2 linked regions of the Saccharomyces cerevisiae S288C genome follow. The protein of the gene in region 1 purifies or fractionates together with the protein of each later gene. This does not show direct contact. Each region holds a gene or a part of one and is shown in the gene's direction. Other genes may lie near its edges. The genes, in order: PBP4 and LSM12.

What was found.
Region 2: the proteins of PBP4 (region 1) and LSM12 purify together in Saccharomyces cerevisiae (affinity purification with mass spectrometry; 4 studies listed by BioGRID). This does not show direct contact.

Annotation. Positions count from the first base shown.
Region 1 is NC_001136.10:351,924-368,686, reverse strand, and holds PBP4 (Pbp4p), read left to right. Parts: upstream 1-6,430; coding exon 6,431-6,988; downstream 6,989-16,763. Other genes in the region: STP4 (Stp4p), read left to right, coding at 476-1,948; KNH1 (Knh1p), read left to right, coding at 2,813-3,619; tRNA maturation protein LHP1, read right to left, coding at 3,908-4,735; 1-acylglycerol-3-phosphate O-acyltransferase SLC1, read left to right, coding at 5,104-6,015; MCH1 (Mch1p), read left to right, coding at 7,402-8,862; PSA1 (mannose-1-phosphate guanylyltransferase), read left to right, coding at 11,928-13,013; transcription factor MBP1, read right to left, coding at 13,309-15,810; YDL057W (uncharacterized protein), read right to left, coding at 16,267-16,763.
Region 2 is NC_001140.6:351,089-353,819, forward strand, and holds LSM12 (Lsm12p), read left to right. Parts: upstream 1-1,667; coding exon 1,668-2,231; downstream 2,232-2,731. Other genes in the region: mismatch repair ATPase MSH1, read left to right, coding at 1-1,365; iron-sulfur cluster assembly protein CIA2, read left to right, coding at 2,537-2,731.

The DNA of each region.
Region 1 (16,763 bases):
AGATTGGTCTTTTCCTTCCCTTACGGCCCGTGGCTAACTCTCAAGGATATCTCTAGATTGTCACTTCCTAGGGGCATTGTTAGTGGTATGGTTACTTAAACCTATTTTATGTACGTAATGCTCTCCTCGCTGTTTTACTCTTCCCTTTTCCAATTTTTTTTCTTCGTTTCCTTTTGTTTTCTACTACTGATAGCTCCCATCCGCAGAGGAACAGAGGGCGAAAAAAAAAGCACCATTTCTTAAAAGTTAAAGCTGCATCAGTGCGTTCTTTATTCTGTCTATTTCTCAAAAGCGCATATTTCCGTCTTTATACATTTATATATATATTCTAAGTGGAGCTGGAAAAAACATGGAAGTAAATTCGGTGCCCTATGATTAGGATATCTAATTCTTGTCAGTTGCTTTTCTTGGTTTGCAGTAGCTGTAACACTGGAGCGCTTGGAATATTTGTTACTTCTTTTCTTTGGCTTCCCCTATGCTGGTATCATCATCTTTTGCATCAAGCATTGACTCAGTAATGTCCCATGAGACGATGTCTTTACGGAGAAACCCTCCCTTTATAGATACTCCAGAAAAAATGCCAAACCCAACGGCTTCTCCCAATGGCACCATTCACCATTTGATAGATCCATCACTGCCATTGTTGTCCAGTACTACGTCGTCTTCGCGCTCTACCCTCAGTTCTACACTGAATTCTCCTCCACCTCCCCCATTAACTACATCATACTCTTCTTATAACTCCTCTGCATGCCAGTCTATCACGAGTTCGCCTACAGACAATACAGCCTTGGCACATAATTCCAAATGCTATTTCCCTCATAGCCTTTCTCCAACACCGCTGTCATCCAACAGCTCAAGCCATGTCATTTTGCCACCCATATCCTCCTTCACCAATTTAATTACAGTTGCAGAAAGAGAATTTAACGGCAGATCAAATTCCTTGCATGCCAATTTTACATCACCGGTGCCAAGAACAGTGCTAGATCATCACAGACATGAGCTAACATTTTGCAACCCTAACAACACAACGGGTTTCAAAACCATCACCCCCTCACCACCAACTCAACACCAGAGTATATTGCCAACCGCGGTAGATAACGTACCGAGATCAAAATCCGTGTCCAGCCTACCCGTTAGTGGATTCCCACCTTTGATCGTCAAACAACAACAGCAACAGCAACTCAACAGTAGTAGTAGTGCCTCTGCACTACCGTCTATTCATTCCCCATTGACTAATGAACATACAAGCAGGTATTCATCGTCTTTAAAGGATTCCGCCAAGATAACGAAGCAAAGAAAGAAAAAGGAATGCCCCATCTGCCACAACTTCTACGCCAACCTATCTACGCATAAATCCACTCATTTAACTCCGGAGGACAGACCGCATAAGTGCCCTATCTGTCAACGCGGCTTTGCCAGGAACAATGATCTGATAAGGCACAAGAAGCGCCATTGGAAAGATGAATTTATGCAAATATACGCAAGGGAGTCCGACAACAATAGTGGTGCTGACGATCAAGATGACACTGCCCGCACCTCCGCAAACAACGACAGCGACGACTCAAACGATAAACTCGCTGCCTCATCCTCTTCCGAAGAAACAAAACTACTGAAGAAAAACCAATTGAAATCACTATACAAGATTAAAGGTGCATTCAAGTGTCCTTACAACTCTACTCTGATCAATTTGGATATGGAGGTGTATCCACACAAGTCTAGATCACTCTATTTCGAGCCAATAAACTGTCATCAAACGGGCGTTTTTTCGCGCTGTGATACTTTCAAGAATCACCTAAAGGCTTTGCATTTCGAGTACCCGCCCAAGACCAAGAAAGAAGATAGAGGTGTTGTGCCGGGGAAGTGCAAGCATTGTGGACTGCAATTTCCGAACGTTGACGTCTGGCTAAATAAGCACGTGGGGAAAGGATGTGGCTACTCATATCACTAAAACCAAAGTCATTCACCGACTCATACATACACACACATACATACATTTATTTATTTATGCCCTAATAATACACATCATTTCTGCGTAAATTATTGTTACGCTGCCCTACGTTATTAATCTAGATTCTTGTTTTCTCTCTGTGTCTCGTTTCTCTTTTTAGGCATGAAGCGAAAAAATCAACAACCGCTATTGACAGGAAGCAAGCTGGCATGAGCCGTTTTTTTTACTTTTTTTGATTTTACCAGAAGGGCGTTGAGACCTGCATCAGCCGTTTGCGGATAGGTTATGCCAGTGATGAAGCACCTGATTCAACTGCCGGCTCTCCGATTGGTCTCCGATCGTTTAGTTCCTTATATTGTACACTATTTCAGCTGTACAAGCCTAGGCCCGAATCGAATTATAAGTCCGTCCGGCTCAAGTCATGGACTCATTATCGATTCGTCTTTTTTTAGCTGCCCCCACGTTATCTCTTCTTTTTTTTTTCTCTGCATCGCGGCGAGTCCCTTGAAAGGGTCGCGAACCTTCGAAGCAGCACTTCTTTTTTTCACATGAGAATGTAGTCCATTGCGTAAATCCAGTCTTTGCGGCTTTCCCTTCTTCCTCATCATATTGTTGACCAACTCCAACAGAAAAGCACATTTCCTCTTCACCAATTTTCTTCTTTCTTTTTTGAAAGTACGAACATGTAAGGGACATTGGACATTATGTGCTCGTTCATGTATAATATTACATGAGGTAGTTAGTTACGTAAATTTATAAAAACGTATCGATGAAAGTTGCACAGAAGTAAAAAGTAAAGTATACAAGTATTACGTCGACTTCTTAGGTAGGTAACAATAATAAAAAATCAATTACGTAAAACGTATGCTGATAGTATTATTCTTAACATTATTTTGTTCGGTAGTGTTCCGAACAGCTTATTGTGATGTGGCCATTGTGGCTCCAGAACCCAACTCAGTTTATGATTTATCTGGTACAAGTCAGGCTGTTGTCAAAGTAAAGTGGATGCATACAGATAACACACCACAGGAAAAGGATTTTGTCAGATACACGTTTACTCTGTGTTCGGGTACCAATGCCATGATAGAAGCAATGGCTACTCTTCAAACACTCAGTGCGAGTGATCTGACAGACAACGAGTTCAATGCGATAATAGAAAACACCGTTGGGACGGACGGTGTTTACTTCATACAAGTCTTTGCGCAAACAGCTATCGGTTACACCATTCATTACACTAACAGATTTAAACTAAAAGGGATGATTGGTACAAAAGCCGCTAATCCGAGTATGATAACCATTGCACCAGAGGCACAAACAAGAATTACCACAGGAGATGTGGGTGCCACGATTGATTCTAAGAGTTTCACCGTTCCCTACAACTTACAAACAGGTGTTGTGAAATATGCTCCCATGCAACTCCAACCGGCTACTAAGGTAACAGCAAAGACATGGAAAAGGAAGTACGCGACCAGTGAGGTAACGTATTACTACACTTTAAGAAACTCCGTTGATCAACATACTACCGTAACACCAGGGTGGTCATACATAATTACAGCTGATAGTAACTATGCTACGCCGGCCCCTATGCCGGCTGATAATGGCGGTTGGTATAATCCACGCAAGAGACTCTCTCTGACTGCAAGAAAAGTTAATGCTTTGAGGCACAGATAATGAAATAATACAAAAAAAAAATTTATGAAAATGGACAAATCGATTTATTATATTCGTTAACATTTTTTCTGCTTAATTATTGTTATTCTATTTTTTTTTTTTTTTAAATGGATGAGCTGTATTCCATTTTAACCAGTAACGGTAATTTTTAATACTAATAAAAAAAGGAGACAAATAATATAGTATTAGTTGTAATTCATATTGTGTTTCTGTTTAGTACATATGTTAGTACATATATTCTTAATATGCTATGATAATGAGATACGAGAACCAGAAGAAACACAAGAATCACTCCTTGTGCTCCTCATCGTCATCGGCAATGGCAGAAGAGTCCTCTTTTGACTCTTCCTTGCCGTTTTTCTTCTTATTTTTGGGGAATTTAGGCAAGTTTTTCTTCTTATGGCCGTTAAAGGATCTTGATCTACCGCTGAAGTTTTTGGACTTCGAGGCCTCTCTCTGTAAATCAAACTGTTTTTTCGTCAAAACACTCAGTTTCTTACCTTCATATGACAAAATTTCGTTGGACTCATCGTCATTGGAATACGATTTCAAAAAAGCTTCACATTCTGGAATTGTCTTAAATTCCACCAAGACCGTACCATTAAATTTCTTGTTTCTGTGATCTCTTCTCAAACGCACTTGGTTGATTTCACCTAATTTTTTGAAAAAGGCTTCCAAGTTCTCCTGCAATTCAGGAATTTGGGAAGCTTCAACGTCCTCATGTGGGAAATTCATTACAGCCAAAGTCCGTTGGTTTTGCTCAATTCTGGCATTTCTGGCAGCAGTTAGGTCCAAAGGAACACGTCTCTTGACGTTCTCTCCATCAGCAGATACTTCCAAAATTTCAGAACTACGTAGTGCTTCGATAACCTTATCCACTGGTCTATATTTCTTCATACGGTTGAATGTGGCGATGGTGCTGATGGGGACCCATCCATCGTTTTTTTCCGCTGTTGTGCGCAAGAACCTGTCATATGGAAAGTTGAATTCAGAAAAGTAGAATTCCACTTGCTTTAAACATCTGTCCAAGACTTCTGGAGTAAATTCAATCACAGCAAATGAATTACGTCTTGATTGTGGTTTCTCTTGCTCCTCTTGTTGTGGTTTTTCAGACATTACTTCTTTGCAGATGCTACTTTAGTTCCAGTAGAACCAAATAGAACCCATTTTTTGGAAAAAGAAAAAAATACATCATAGCGATGAGATGCGACTCTGTGCTTTTGATTTGGTTGTAATTCAAAAATCTTGAGATATTGCGATGAGGTTGGGCTGAACACATTACACTAAGACGAAGACGAAAATTTTTTCACGGTCACGAGATGGATCTCGTGAATGATGATATCAATTATGCTTCCTTTGTTTTGTTGAGAATATGGTATGGTGTTCAAAATACTTATATTAGGAAGGGTTTAAGGTGAAGGGGGAATTCTTCAATAGAGAAGTTTAGTGGTTTCCCTCCGTCAGTGAATTCGAGCAAAAAAATAATGAGTGTGATAGGTAGGTTCTTGTATTACTTGAGGTCCGTGTTGGTCGTACTGGCGCTTGCAGGCTGTGGCTTTTACGGTGTAATCGCCTCTATCCTTTGCACGTTAATCGGTAAGCAACATTTGGCTCAGTGGATTACTGCGCGTTGTTTTTACCATGTCATGAAATTGATGCTTGGCCTTGACGTCAAGGTCGTTGGCGAGGAGAATTTGGCCAAGAAGCCATATATTATGATTGCCAATCACCAATCCACCTTGGATATCTTCATGTTAGGTAGGATTTTCCCCCCTGGTTGCACAGTTACTGCCAAGAAGTCTTTGAAATACGTCCCCTTTCTGGGTTGGTTCATGGCTTTGAGTGGTACATATTTCTTAGACAGATCTAAAAGGCAAGAAGCCATTGACACCTTGAATAAAGGTTTAGAAAATGTTAAGAAAAACAAGCGTGCTCTATGGGTTTTTCCTGAGGGTACCAGGTCTTACACGAGTGAGCTGACAATGTTGCCTTTCAAGAAGGGTGCTTTCCATTTGGCACAACAGGGTAAGATCCCCATTGTTCCAGTGGTTGTTTCCAATACCAGTACTTTAGTAAGTCCTAAATATGGGGTCTTCAACAGAGGCTGTATGATTGTTAGAATTTTAAAACCTATTTCAACCGAGAACTTAACAAAGGACAAAATTGGTGAATTTGCTGAAAAAGTTAGAGATCAAATGGTTGACACTTTGAAGGAGATTGGCTACTCTCCCGCCATCAACGATACAACCCTCCCACCACAAGCTATTGAGTATGCCGCTCTTCAACATGACAAGAAAGTGAACAAGAAAATCAAGAATGAGCCTGTGCCTTCTGTCAGCATTAGCAACGATGTCAATACCCATAACGAAGGTTCATCTGTAAAAAAGATGCATTAAGCCACCACCACATTTTTAGAGTAGTATATAGACCCAAAAACTGTAATTATCTTTTTAAAAAAGTAAAATGACTTACGAATGATTCTGATGATTTTATTTATTACGACTCATATACCCAGCGTAAGAAGTGATCAATAGACCGCTACTTTATTCGGAGAAAGAGAAAAGAACTTTCCATTGTAATGTATATATAACACCAGGCATGTGTCAAAAATGTGAGACTAAATAGAAAGAAAAATACGAGGAACAACAAATAATACGATCTTGTGCATATTTTTTCCCTTTTTTTTTTTAATTCTTTTTTTCTGAAATTTTTCATTTGTTCACTGTTTAATATCTATCCATTTTTGTTTCCGAATTTTCATTAACTTTATTACTTATTTACGATACAATTTTCCCTTTAATCTAGTACGAAATGACAACAACCTCAACAACCAGTGTAGATGGCAGAACCTCCTCGACTTTGAAGGCTACTTTATCTGCTTCAGGTCCAAATTCAAATGGTCCAACGCCCGCTGTGCTTCCTCAGAAGCCAAAATTAACAGGTTGGGCGCAGGCAGCTGCCAAAGCCCTTCCAAGGCAACAGCAACAGCAACAGCAGGCACGAAAAGATGATTCCGTGGCTGTACAACCTGCTAATACGAAGACTAAAACCATCGCATCTACCGCGCCGCCTGCTAATATAAAGGGTAGTTCCACCGCCAATGGATCATCCACAAATAAGAAATTTAAAAGAGCGAATAAACAACCTTACAATAGAGAAGAAGTTAGATCGTATATGCACAAATTATTTCAGAGCTATACCGCTGGTGAAAAAAGTCATTCAATGAAAACTTATAAGCAAGTACTATCAGAAACGGCAAGTGGCAGAGTTTCAACAGCCACTGACTGGGGTACTGTATCAAGCAGTAAAAATAAGAATAAAAAATACGGCTGTTTGTCCGATATTGCTAAAGTTTTAAGAAACCAATGAGAATATCGAAGCATCACGTTTCATAACGCAAAAAGGAGTCAAACAAAAAATGAAGTATGAAGTCAAGAAAACGAAGAAAAGAGGAAAATAGAAGAAATGAAAATATTATTTTACAAGCGTAAATAAAAATTTTATAATTCATAATGTCGAAAAATGTATACTGTGTTAAGACGCCTTTCTTTGCTTTTTCTCTTAGTCTTTATTGCATAGTTCACTTAGCCTTTCCGATGCTAGCGGCTTTTCGCATCGTTCGGAAATTAGTACCTTTCTTTTTGCCCTACAAGAAAAACTATTATACAGTGTAAATACAAGATAACAGAGACCGCTACTCAGACAGCAACTTCTAACGTTTCATCGAGACTAGTTTCCTTTCATATCATTTTATAGCAATAACCATTTTCCAAGTGCAAATCATGCCTCTATCAAAGGTGGAGCACTACCTTTCATACCATACGCGCTTACTCTTACCCCATGTTTTGTCTCTTCAGTCATCACATCGTGTTGCATACATCTTTTCGCTATTATCTGCGGTGTCAACTGGCTTCATTACTTTGATATCTCTTTACTCTCAACCGTGGCAGAAACATTTAAATTATTCCTCATGGCAAATCAACACCATCGCTAGTATGACTAATTTGGGGATGTACTTGACGCCACCAATCTTGGGGATGATCGCTGATTCTCATGGCCCCATTACTTTAAGTCTTTTAGCCATCATAGGGTTCATACCTAGCTATTCATATCTGGCTTACGTTTTTAATCATCCGGAGTTATCTCTCGGAGGAAATGGTGACTCATCATTCAATCTATCCATCATTTGTTTCGTTTTCATAGGTATATCAACAAGCGCTTTATACTTTAGCGCTTTACTGACATGCACTAAGCTATATCCTCATACAAAACTACTATCCATTAGCTTACCAACGACATGTTATGGTATTTCTTCTGTAGTCGGTTCTCAACTGCTAAGAATCAAATGGTTCTGGTCCTCTAACGCAAGTTCTTCCTCGTCCAATAGTGACTTAAACCTGGGAAGAGTATTCCAAACATTTGCCCTCGTTTATGTCGTTATTGGGCTACTTGCATGGATAGCCACCAGCGTGGTATCACTTTTGCATTTTAATGAAGAGCAAGACAACCAAAAACGGCTGGATGATCAAACTGATGTGGAACAATCACCGCTGTTAGAACGAAGTAATCATGTTCAAGAAAAGTTTACGCAGACGATGCTAAGGATCTTTAGTGATCCTGTGACATATATCCTAGCGGTATCAATTTTGTTATCACTTGGGCCCCTCGAGATGTTTATTGCCAATATGGGATCACTGACTAACCTGCTAGTCCAATTAGATGCGCCAACCTTATCTACAAAGTTGTTATCCACATACGCGCTATCTTCCACTTTTACGAGATTGCTCACAGGCATAGTGGCAGACTTCTTCGCCAAGAAAAAAATATCAATTAAATGGATCCTGTTGACTTTCCTTTCATTAGGGGTATGTGCACAACTGTTTTTATTGAAAATGACCTCTTCAGCGTCACCCTGGGGGCTAGTACCTACAGGATCATTGGTTGGAATTGTATACGGTGGACTTTTCACTGTTTATCCGACGCTGGTCCTGTTAGTATGGGGCGAACGCTCATTCGGGACTGTTTACGGTAGCTTACTAATTGCACCTGCTATAGGTTCTATGATATTTTGCATGTTGTATGCCAAATTTTACGATTCTCGCTGTATGAGTGGCGGAGGAGATCTGCGAAATCCGTCCTGTATTTCGGCTGTCTACAAGTACAGCAGTATCGCATTCGTTGTATCCGCTGTTCTTTCAGCTGTAGTATTTTGGAAATTAAAAAGTAGAAAACTCAGAATTTAAACAAAAAAGAAACTGCTACATTTATTTTTTTTAAAATTCATAGCTTATATAAATGACACCAATAAATTGCACTTATTTCTTTTATGCTATGCTATTGTTTTTGATACCCTTTTAAAGGTACCGGTTAAAAATTGAGAGAAAAAAAGAAAGAACTCCTCATAGGGGGCTCGAACCCCTGACATTTCGGTATCCTTGCTTAAGCAAATGCGCTTAAAAGCCGAACGCTCTACCAACTGAGCTAACAAGGATGAGTTCTTCGGAGAATCCTGGACATAAATTTGTCCATGTTATTTTAAAGTTTTATCAGATTTGCACTGGTCTTTACCGTTCCAACACTTTGTACATGTTGATAATAAGAATAAAATATCATCCATCGACTGCTATTCTTCATATCAATTGTACATTATCATATATGATGTAAGGTGATTGGGAAACAGTCATCAGATCTTATGGAAAATAAAATGTGAAGATTCATAATATGATAGGGTAATGAATGGCAACATATAAACGAATAAGAAAATCCGCTTCTAAAAAGAACGGAATTCACCAAGTATCCCAACATTGACCCATTTCTTATGCTTACATATTGTTATTTTTTGCCCCTGTCTTAGTAGCAGAGCTTTCGTCACATGTTCAACTAAATTCCAAACAGTTGAACTTTTTGTTCTACTGATCTTGTAATTCATGCTTCCTTCTATGCAACACGCCATACTAATTTAGTAGAATGAACAGTAACTGGTGAACGATGACTCTGTAGTAGAATACTATAAAAAGGTGGCATCGTATAAAGGTGCCTTCTTTGACCCTTGGCAGGTAGGGCGGCAACGGCACAATGATATTTTATTTAACAAAAAGATACGCTAACACCGCATCTGAACACGTAATACTACTATATGACTTGGAACAAATGGCTAATCAATAATCACATATGTTCGACCGCTGCAGGAAAAGAGAAAAGAAAGCAGTTTCTACAAGCAAGAACTTGGAAATACAGACAAACCTCCAGTACTTTATTAGGATTGTCCATTCCTCACCCAGATATGTTAAATTCGATACCAATGTGTTTTGATTCACGCGCAGAAAGAAGGACTTTCCCTGCTCTGCTCGGCAAAAACATACACGTTGTCGACCGAGCACGACTGCCGTTGTCGAAGCCACCACTGTCACTTCTCGTTTAATATCTTTAATCGCATCATCTATAGTTCCTAATTCTGCATTCCTAACACTGTAGCCTATCCAGCAAAATCATTCCCATTTTCTCTTTATATGTGCCTAGATTTTAAAATTTTGCTTAAGATGATTTACATTGAGGGGGGAAACTTGCTTTATCCGCTCCTCCAATTGATTCAAGAAGTATGGGCGCTGACCTACCATCTCAATTTCTTGTTTCACTCGAGAATTGTCACTGAGATAGTAAATGTCTAGAGAATCCTTTGCAACAGGAGATTTCAAATTTATATTCTTTGTGTTCGCATTCGCTTCCCGTCTGTTACTCGTTCCCTTACCATTCTATTATGCATTGCAGATCTGCCAAGTAAAAAAAAAAATACCTTGGTGTACACACCACCCATACATTATCTGACAAGGAAACAAAAGTAATGACAGTAAATTGAAGAACTTGTGATGAGCCAAAAAGAAGAATGTGTGCACTTCTTTTCGTATTTTTATGGTAAAGCCAGTTGGTGGCTTTCTTTGACGATATGAAACCCAGGATCCCATGCTGCCTATGTTGCATTTATGTAATTGTCTGTATGAAGCTCGCATTTTAGAGTTACTACTATGTGCTTTCTATGCAGTTGCTTGCCGCAGCCAAGACGTAGAGATTTCTTAGACGTGCTTTTTATTTCTTATGAAAGTAAAGAGTGTGTATACAACGAACTATGTTAATAATTAGTAGTACCAGAACATTGACTTTCGTAAGGACCAAACGGCATCCCTATCTCGGAAGAACACCACATGATGCAAGTTCTCCTGCCTACGAATAGTTCGTCAGGTGCCAGCACTGAGACCACCCAAACTAAAGGCAATCGAAAACTATACCACGTTTATCGTTATGTTTCGGCGGCTCACCTTGTATCAACCTGCTTGGCAAGCTGCTCTGCGAGGCTCCATTTTTTTACATTTTCAAGAGGAGTACATTTCACCTTAAAAAACGGCACGGAGAAAGCCTAAACTTGGTTGCATATACGCAATTACAAATCTTTTATAACTACTTCTGATTCTGTGCACGACGTGCCACCCGGTACAGTTCAAAGGTCACTATACGCACTGTCGATCGAGCCAACCCAACCCACAGAACATCCTAAAGCTTCAAATCGAAACGCGTACAGTCAGCATTCTTCATGCTGCACCCGATCCTTCTTACCGCGTGCTGGGTGAAAAGCAAGACTAAGAGCAAGACCCTTGGATAACGGCACCAAATGGACTACTTTCGTCCTTTCCTGCAACTCTGACTATAGCTTTTTCTATCATTGCCTAAACCAAACCGTCCACGCCACCTCACCAGCAACGCACAGCATGAAGAACGCGAAAACAGAAAAAAAAAACGCCAAAAGAAACGGCCACCGTGTACTTGCTGGCCAGCTAGAAATGCCTCGGGAGCCACCACGTTTATTTTTATCTCAATCTCTGAAAAACTTTTTTTTCTTTGTTTTTGTCGTTTTTCAGCATGAACAGCGCAGCAATAAACAAACAAACAAACAAACAGACGAACAGACACAGAACCACAGCTGACCGGTAGTAAAGTAAGCTGGTGGTTTCTCGCTTTGTTTTCTTTTTTTCCTTGCCTCGTGGCGCTCTTGTAAACATATATATAGTAGACTTTTCACGTCATTGTTAGAAGTTTCACATAGTCTTGTTTTCTTTTCTCCAAAACTGTATTTTTTTTTTCTTTGTCTATCTTGTTCTCACCTCTTTGACTTTGATAACGTTCATCAAGTGTGCAAACTACTTTACATTCGCTAACTCTTTTCTTCTGTCCAAATATTTTGTTGACTATACAAACAAAATATTATCAGCACAAGACAAGCTACAACTTCAACAAATAAAACATATATAATTGAAAAATGAAAGGTTTAATTTTAGTCGGTGGTTACGGTACCAGATTGAGACCTTTAACTTTGACCGTTCCAAAGCCACTGGTTGAATTCGGTAATAGACCAATGATTTTACACCAAATCGAGGCTTTAGCCAACGCTGGTGTTACTGACATCGTTCTTGCTGTTAATTACAGACCAGAAGTCATGGTGGAAACTTTGAAGAAGTACGAAAAGGAATATGGTGTTAACATCACTTTCTCTGTAGAAACTGAACCATTAGGTACTGCAGGTCCATTGAAATTGGCTGAAGATGTTTTGAAGAAGGACAACTCTCCATTTTTCGTCCTAAACTCCGACGTCATTTGCGAATATCCATTCAAGGAATTGGCTGACTTCCACAAAGCTCACGGTGGTAAAGGTACCATTGTTGCTACCAAGGTCGACGAACCTTCTAAATACGGTGTCATTGTCCATGATATAGCTACTCCAAACTTGATTGACAGATTTGTTGAAAAGCCAAAGGAATTTGTTGGTAACAGAATTAACGCCGGTTTGTACATTTTAAACCCAGAAGTCATTGACTTGATTGAAATGAAGCCAACTTCAATTGAAAAGGAAACTTTCCCAATCTTGGTCGAAGAAAAACAACTATATTCCTTCGATTTGGAAGGTTTCTGGATGGATGTTGGTCAACCAAAGGACTTCTTGTCTGGTACCGTTCTTTACTTGAACTCTTTGGCCAAGAGACAACCAAAAAAATTGGCTACAGGTGCCAACATTGTTGGTAATGCCTTGATCGACCCAACCGCTAAGATTTCCTCCACTGCTAAGATTGGCCCAGACGTGGTTATCGGTCCTAATGTCACCATCGGTGATGGTGTTAGAATCACCAGATCTGTTGTTTTGTGCAACTCCACCATCAAGAACCACTCCTTGGTCAAATCTACCATCGTAGGCTGGAACTCTACCGTTGGTCAATGGTGTCGTTTGGAAGGTGTCACTGTCTTGGGTGACGACGTTGAAGTTAAGGACGAAATCTACATCAACGGTGGTAAAGTCTTACCTCATAAGTCTATCTCCGATAATGTTCCAAAGGAAGCTATTATTATGTGAGTTAGGAAAACGAACTGTAATGAATATAATCTATATCACTCATCTGTTTTTGTTAATTTTATTTTAGCCAATATCATTATAAAAAGAGGAAAACATGCACAGAAAAAGCACTGCTTACTGTTATGTCTTAGTTTGTAATTGAAAATGAAAAATAAAAAAAAAAAAGAAAATAAAGAAAAAAAGGTTGATCCTTATGTAACTTTTTATTTACGTAGAAGTTAATAAATATTATCTCATTGTTTTATCTATTTTTCAGTATATGGATACATGTAAAGTTCCTCTATTTATGTATATTTTATGCATGACTATTCGCGTTTGAGATTGTGATGATCTGTTCTGCGCCCTTATTTTTATTATTGTTGGCTATCAATGTCTGTAGTATTACATCCAGCGAACTATCTACTTCTTCAATATTCATTTCCGTACCTTCCCTGATAATCCGTCTATATTTATGAATCTTGGCATTGTCTTCAAATTTCTTCACCAAGGAACTCAATTTGTTTTTCCTTTGTAATTGCAACATCGTTAGTTCTTGAGCCAATTCCAACCTTTCCAGCGTATTATTATCTTTCTCAACTGTGTTATTGGTGGTAGCCTGAGTTTCATCTTCTATTAATTTGTTCAATAAAACCGTTTGCCTGTATTCCAGCTTTTGTTTTATCAACCGTTTGTATCGTATGAGCCTTTTTCTCAATTTCTTAGTATTTTGTTCTTGTAGACGAGATAAAATTTCGAAGTCATCATTAGTCTGAGCTTCGCCGTTTTCATCTTTACTGCTCTCTTTCAATACCTCTAAAGTTTTTAGGCTTACCTGTATTTTCGTCTTAGAAATGCTTTTTAAAGTTTTTTGCAAACTTTTTATTTCGTTGTCATGCTGTTCATGAAGATCGTTGTATATGCTAGCCATTTGCTTCATAGAATTCACTACATTTGGAATATTTCTTGATATATTGGTGGCAATTTGAGATGGATAGGTTATGTAATCCGAAGGAGAAACAGGCGACATGATTACCATTGAATTAACATCATTTTTCGTTTCAATGTTGTTTGTATTAACGTGGATATTCAAGTCCGTGTTTGAAGAATTGACATGTTGATTTGTACCATTTTGTATCATCATTTGCTCATATTGTTGATTCATTATTTCATTGGCGGTTAATCCTTCCTTATTGGAAATAGTAGTTAATGCACCCATTTTGACCAGTGTATTAAAAAAAACAACATCTCCATTTTTAGAAGCAATATGAAGTGCGGTATCGCCATTTTTGTCTTGTGTGTTTAAAAGTAATTCAATTCTATACTGTGGGGAAAAATCCTTGATCTTAGATAGCACAACATCAAGATAATAAACTGCAGAAGGTGTTGTTGATTTTCGTTTCACAATATGGTGAATTACTGTTTGTGATTGCGAATCGATATCAAATACGGTCTCGTGCAGTAGCTGGAAAATTCTAGGGAAAGTTCTTCTAGTGTATGAATTGTGGAATAAGGAACTTCTCATCAATGGAGTTTGGCCTTGAGAATTTGTCGATCTGATACTTGTTCCGGCTTCGTACAACGCCTCAGCAATTGGTAAATTACCCATAGAACAAGCCCAATGGAAGGCAGTATGTAATTCTGGATCGATTGGAGCATCTATATAGGGAGCGCTGTGTGGAGGTGGGTGCAATAACACTTGTGGTAGGGACTTATTTGACTTCATTTCATTGGAAATAAAATAATCAACCAATTTTGAAAGGTATTTGTTAACTTTATCATTAATATCCGATGTTTGAGGCCTTGAAGTTACAGGATAACGCGGGATCATGGAAATAATAGGAGATGTTCCACCACCGGGAAATCGCTCTTCAAATGGATTACTATCGGCAAAATCGCCCGGTGACGTAGGTAATGAAGGAGAGGAAGATACGGACGTGGCCATTGATTCTGTTTGCTGTGTCTGTATCAAGGAAGATTGTTGTTGGGGTACAAATCCAGTATTTTGATTAAAAACTTGTTGTAATTGTTGTGAAGGTTCCACATCGCTTGATAAGCCGTCCTCAAGATCAATTTCTTTGAACTGTGCAGAATTATTTTGTTGCGGCTGCTGCTGTCGAGAATCGTGCCTTTCTTCTTCCAGAATACCCAATGTAGGGGATTGTGGTCCCATGGTGGATCTAATAGAGGGAAGTTGCGTTGTCGATATTGAAGAATTCGGTATCGCCGGTCTAGGAAATCCCATATCACTTTGAGAACGTTGTAAATTGACACCTAACTTCCGCCTACTTCCCCTCGTAGATCCTACCGGTCTACCTCTTTTCCTTGGTGCAGCCGTGGGATTTCCCAATATTTTGCTGCTTTGAAATTGATTTTCCTCGGCTTTCTTGTTGTTTCTTTTTGTTTCCATAATTGCGGAAGTACTTGCACTTCTAATAGCCTTTTTCCTATCCACCTTCGAGGCATGGTGATGTTTTGGAGCAGGAGGTGGAGAAGCAGACCCATCTGTTTGCGTAAAGTCGAACAACGGTTTCAGCTGATCGTAGACACTAAATTTTTCTGCCAGTTGTTTCGCTATGTTCAGTGGGACCCATGTACCCTGATATTTACCAAATCCACCCTGAACTTTTTCATGAGTTTCCTTAAGTACTTCCTTCTCTAGAATCCTTGTTCTTTTAGCCTTGGCAAAATTGGCGGCCTTTAAAATATGTGTAGCATTGACCCAATCATCCTTTTTCCTTTTCATGATAGATCCTGTAGAATGAATGAATTCATAAACATCAACCCCCGAATATCTCGCTGAGTATATTTGGTTAGACATGCTTGTGTTTCTGGGATTTACGTTGTGTCTCGGAATGTTAAGCACGATTTTGCAGACCAATCGCACTTGATATGATGTTTAGTTATATGAATTACAATGGGCTTTATTTTCCGATGGCTCAATCTTGTGCAAGTTATGTTGATTTTGTTTTCTTTTTTTCATTTTTTCATCTGTTGATTATACTAATCGGATGGAAAAACAAAGCAGTAGTAATTTAACAATCTAACAATCTCAAGCGCAAGAGAAAAAAGGAACGTAAATGAATTATCTCTAACGGCTAATGGATGCTGAACATGTGGAATACCAGTTTAATCACGATCAGAAATATCGTCTCACAGCGTAGTATTGCCTCTATTTGATCTTAAACTGCAATGCCGACGACTTTATGCGGGTGATCCCGCAAAGTGACCAAACTCAGCACAAGACTTATCTTAGATTAATATGTAGTTGTATGGTCTATGTATCTTGCAGGTATTCCATAATTAGATCAACTACTAGTGGTGAGTAGTTGACTCTACCCCTCCTTATCGGTAAGCCTAGCGCGTTGGGATCACCTTCAATGCCATAATAATTGTGGTCCGCATTTTCAATAAGTTTCAATGAATGTCTGCCCTCGAAAAGCCTTGCATAATTTGAGGCTGCGCTAATTGGCACTATGTGATCACACATGCCATAGCAGGACATTACTGAACAAGTTTGTGGTATCGTGGCAAATTCCGGAACGCAAACGCCAGCGATACTATAAGTCTCACTTAATGGTATCCAAAAGTCTTTGTATTCGCCATTTCGTGGACCATTCGCCCAAAACCCACCTTCTGCTTGCCAATGCGGGTGCAGTCGTGTGCAGCGTTCAATAAGTCCTCTCCCATCATATCTTCCAGCGCAATTGATCAGGTGAGACGGTAATGGAGATTCAGCTGCATGTAATTTTAGACAGAATTTGAACATGGCAA
Region 2 (2,731 bases), on another chromosome or scaffold:
TTTGAAAAAAATTTGATTGATGATATTTTGAAGTTTTTAAATGAGGAAGAGCTAGCAAAGTCACAAGATGCTAAACAGAATGCAGATGTAACTAGAATGCTTGACATAGATGTAAAAGACAAGAAAGAAAGTAACAAAGATGAGATTTTTGAATTAAGAGATTTTATCGTAAACCCTTCGTTCAATACCAAACTTAGGAAATTGCATGACACTTATCAGGGCGTTTGGCAAAAAAAAACTGAGTACAATGCTTTATTAAAAGGTTTTTTTGTTGGCGACCTAGGTGCTAAGACTTTCACCTTGAAGGAAAGGCAAAACGGTGAGTATGCCCTCCATGTGACAGGAACAGCCTCTAGTTTAAAGAAAATTGATGAGTTAATTAGTAAATCGACGGAGTACCACGGAAGTTGCTTCCATATTTTGCAAAAATCAAGCCAAACACGATGGTTGAGTCACAAAATTTGGACAGACTTGGGGCACGAGTTGGAATTATTAAATTTAAAGATTAGGAATGAAGAGGCTAATATTATTGATCTTTTTAAAAGGAAATTTATTGATAGAAGTAACGAGGTCAGACAAGTTGCAACTACACTGGGCTATCTTGATACCTTATCGTCCTTTGCTGTGTTAGCTAACGAGAGAAATTTAGTCTGCCCAAAAGTGGATGAGAGCAATAAACTAGAAGTAGTGAATGGGAGACATCTAATGGTTGAAGAGGGTCTTTCCGCGCGCTCTTTGGAGACATTCACGGCCAATAACTGCGAATTGGCGAAGGACAATTTATGGGTAATTACCGGACCGAATATGGGTGGTAAATCTACATTCTTAAGACAGAATGCAATTATAGTCATTCTGGCGCAAATTGGATGTTTTGTTCCATGCAGTAAGGCGCGTGTGGGTATTGTAGATAAGCTTTTTAGCCGAGTTGGTTCAGCAGATGATCTGTACAATGAGATGAGTACGTTCATGGTTGAGATGATAGAAACATCGTTCATCTTGCAAGGAGCTACGGAACGGTCTTTAGCTATTCTAGATGAGATTGGCCGTGGGACTAGTGGTAAAGAAGGCATTAGCATCGCTTATGCAACTTTAAAGTATTTGTTAGAGAACAATCAATGCAGAACGCTTTTTGCTACACATTTTGGTCAAGAACTGAAGCAAATCATTGATAACAAATGTTCGAAAGGAATGAGCGAAAAGGTCAAGTTTTACCAAAGCGGAATCACTGATTTAGGTGGAAACAATTTTTGTTACAACCATAAGTTGAAGCCGGGCATCTGCACGAAATCAGATGCCATTAGAGTTGCGGAATTGGCCGGATTTCCAATGGAAGCGTTAAAAGAAGCCCGCGAAATATTGGGATAACTTTTGAATACAACTATTAATTGTATATAATTTGACATGTAATATAATAAGATGTGGAATCAATTTCCCTGTCTTTTTTTTCAAAAGCGACTGTGAAGATACTTAGAAAATGGCAAAAACGGTAGTTTGCAAATTTCCGTAGTTTGTCGCGCGAATGATATTAGCGGAAACAAAACGATCAAACCTTATACCATGAATATAATGGTGGATATTTATTACGGTAAGGAAACACTCTGAGCCAGGCTTGTAAATAGCGGTTATCTAAGCTTGTAACTAAAGAAATCAATTTGCATCTTTCGTCCATGAGTGTCAGCCTTGAGCAAACGCTCGGATTCAGAATAAAAGTTACGAACGTGTTGGATGTAGTTACTGAAGGAAGATTGTATTCGTTCAATTCATCCAACAACACTCTTACTATCCAAACAACAAAGAAGAATCAATCTCCACAAAACTTCAAGGTGATAAAATGTACATTCATCAAGCATTTGGAAGTCATTGGTGATAAGCCCTCGTTTAACTCATTCAAAAAGCAACAAATCAAACCCTCATATGTCAACGTGGAAAGAGTTGAGAAGCTTTTGAAAGAAAGTGTAATAGCATCTAAAAAGAAAGAACTCTTAAGGGGCAAGGGTGTGAGTGCAGAGGGTCAGTTCATTTTCGATCAAATCTTCAAGACCATAGGAGATACTAAGTGGGTGGCTAAAGACATCATTATTCTTGATGACGTTAAGGTGCAACCTCCATACAAGGTCGAAGATATCAAAGTGCTACATGAGGGAAGTAACCAATCCATTACATTAATTCAAAGAATAGTGGAAAGAAGCTGGGAGCAGCTAGAACAAGACGATGGTAGGAAAGGTGGATAGATTAATTAATGACGGAAACGATAATATACGTTATATATTTTATCCGTACTTCTATAATGTCAACTATTGTTTATAAAGAGATCCATTTGAGTCTACAGATTTTTCTATTTATCAAACTATAATATTCCACCACTCTCTTCTCAGTCGCAATGCTTGGGTGTACGGTGTTTGAATAATTGAATTAGATTTAAATGCGAATAAGTGATGACTAACAAGCAAAAAAATCGAGTATTTCAAGATCCAGTCGAATATAAAATCTTGCTACTGCATTATTCTACGATTTCCTGTTATCACTTATAGTACACATGTCTGAGTTTTTGAATGAAAATCCCGACATTTTAGAGGAGAACCAACTTCCCACTAGAAAAGAAGATAGTACCAAGGACCTTTTGTTAGGCGGGTTCAGCAACGAAGCTACGCTGGAAAGGAGAAGCCTTTTGCTGAAAATAGACCATTCTTTAAAGTCTCAGGTATTGCAAGATATAGAGGTCTTAGACAAG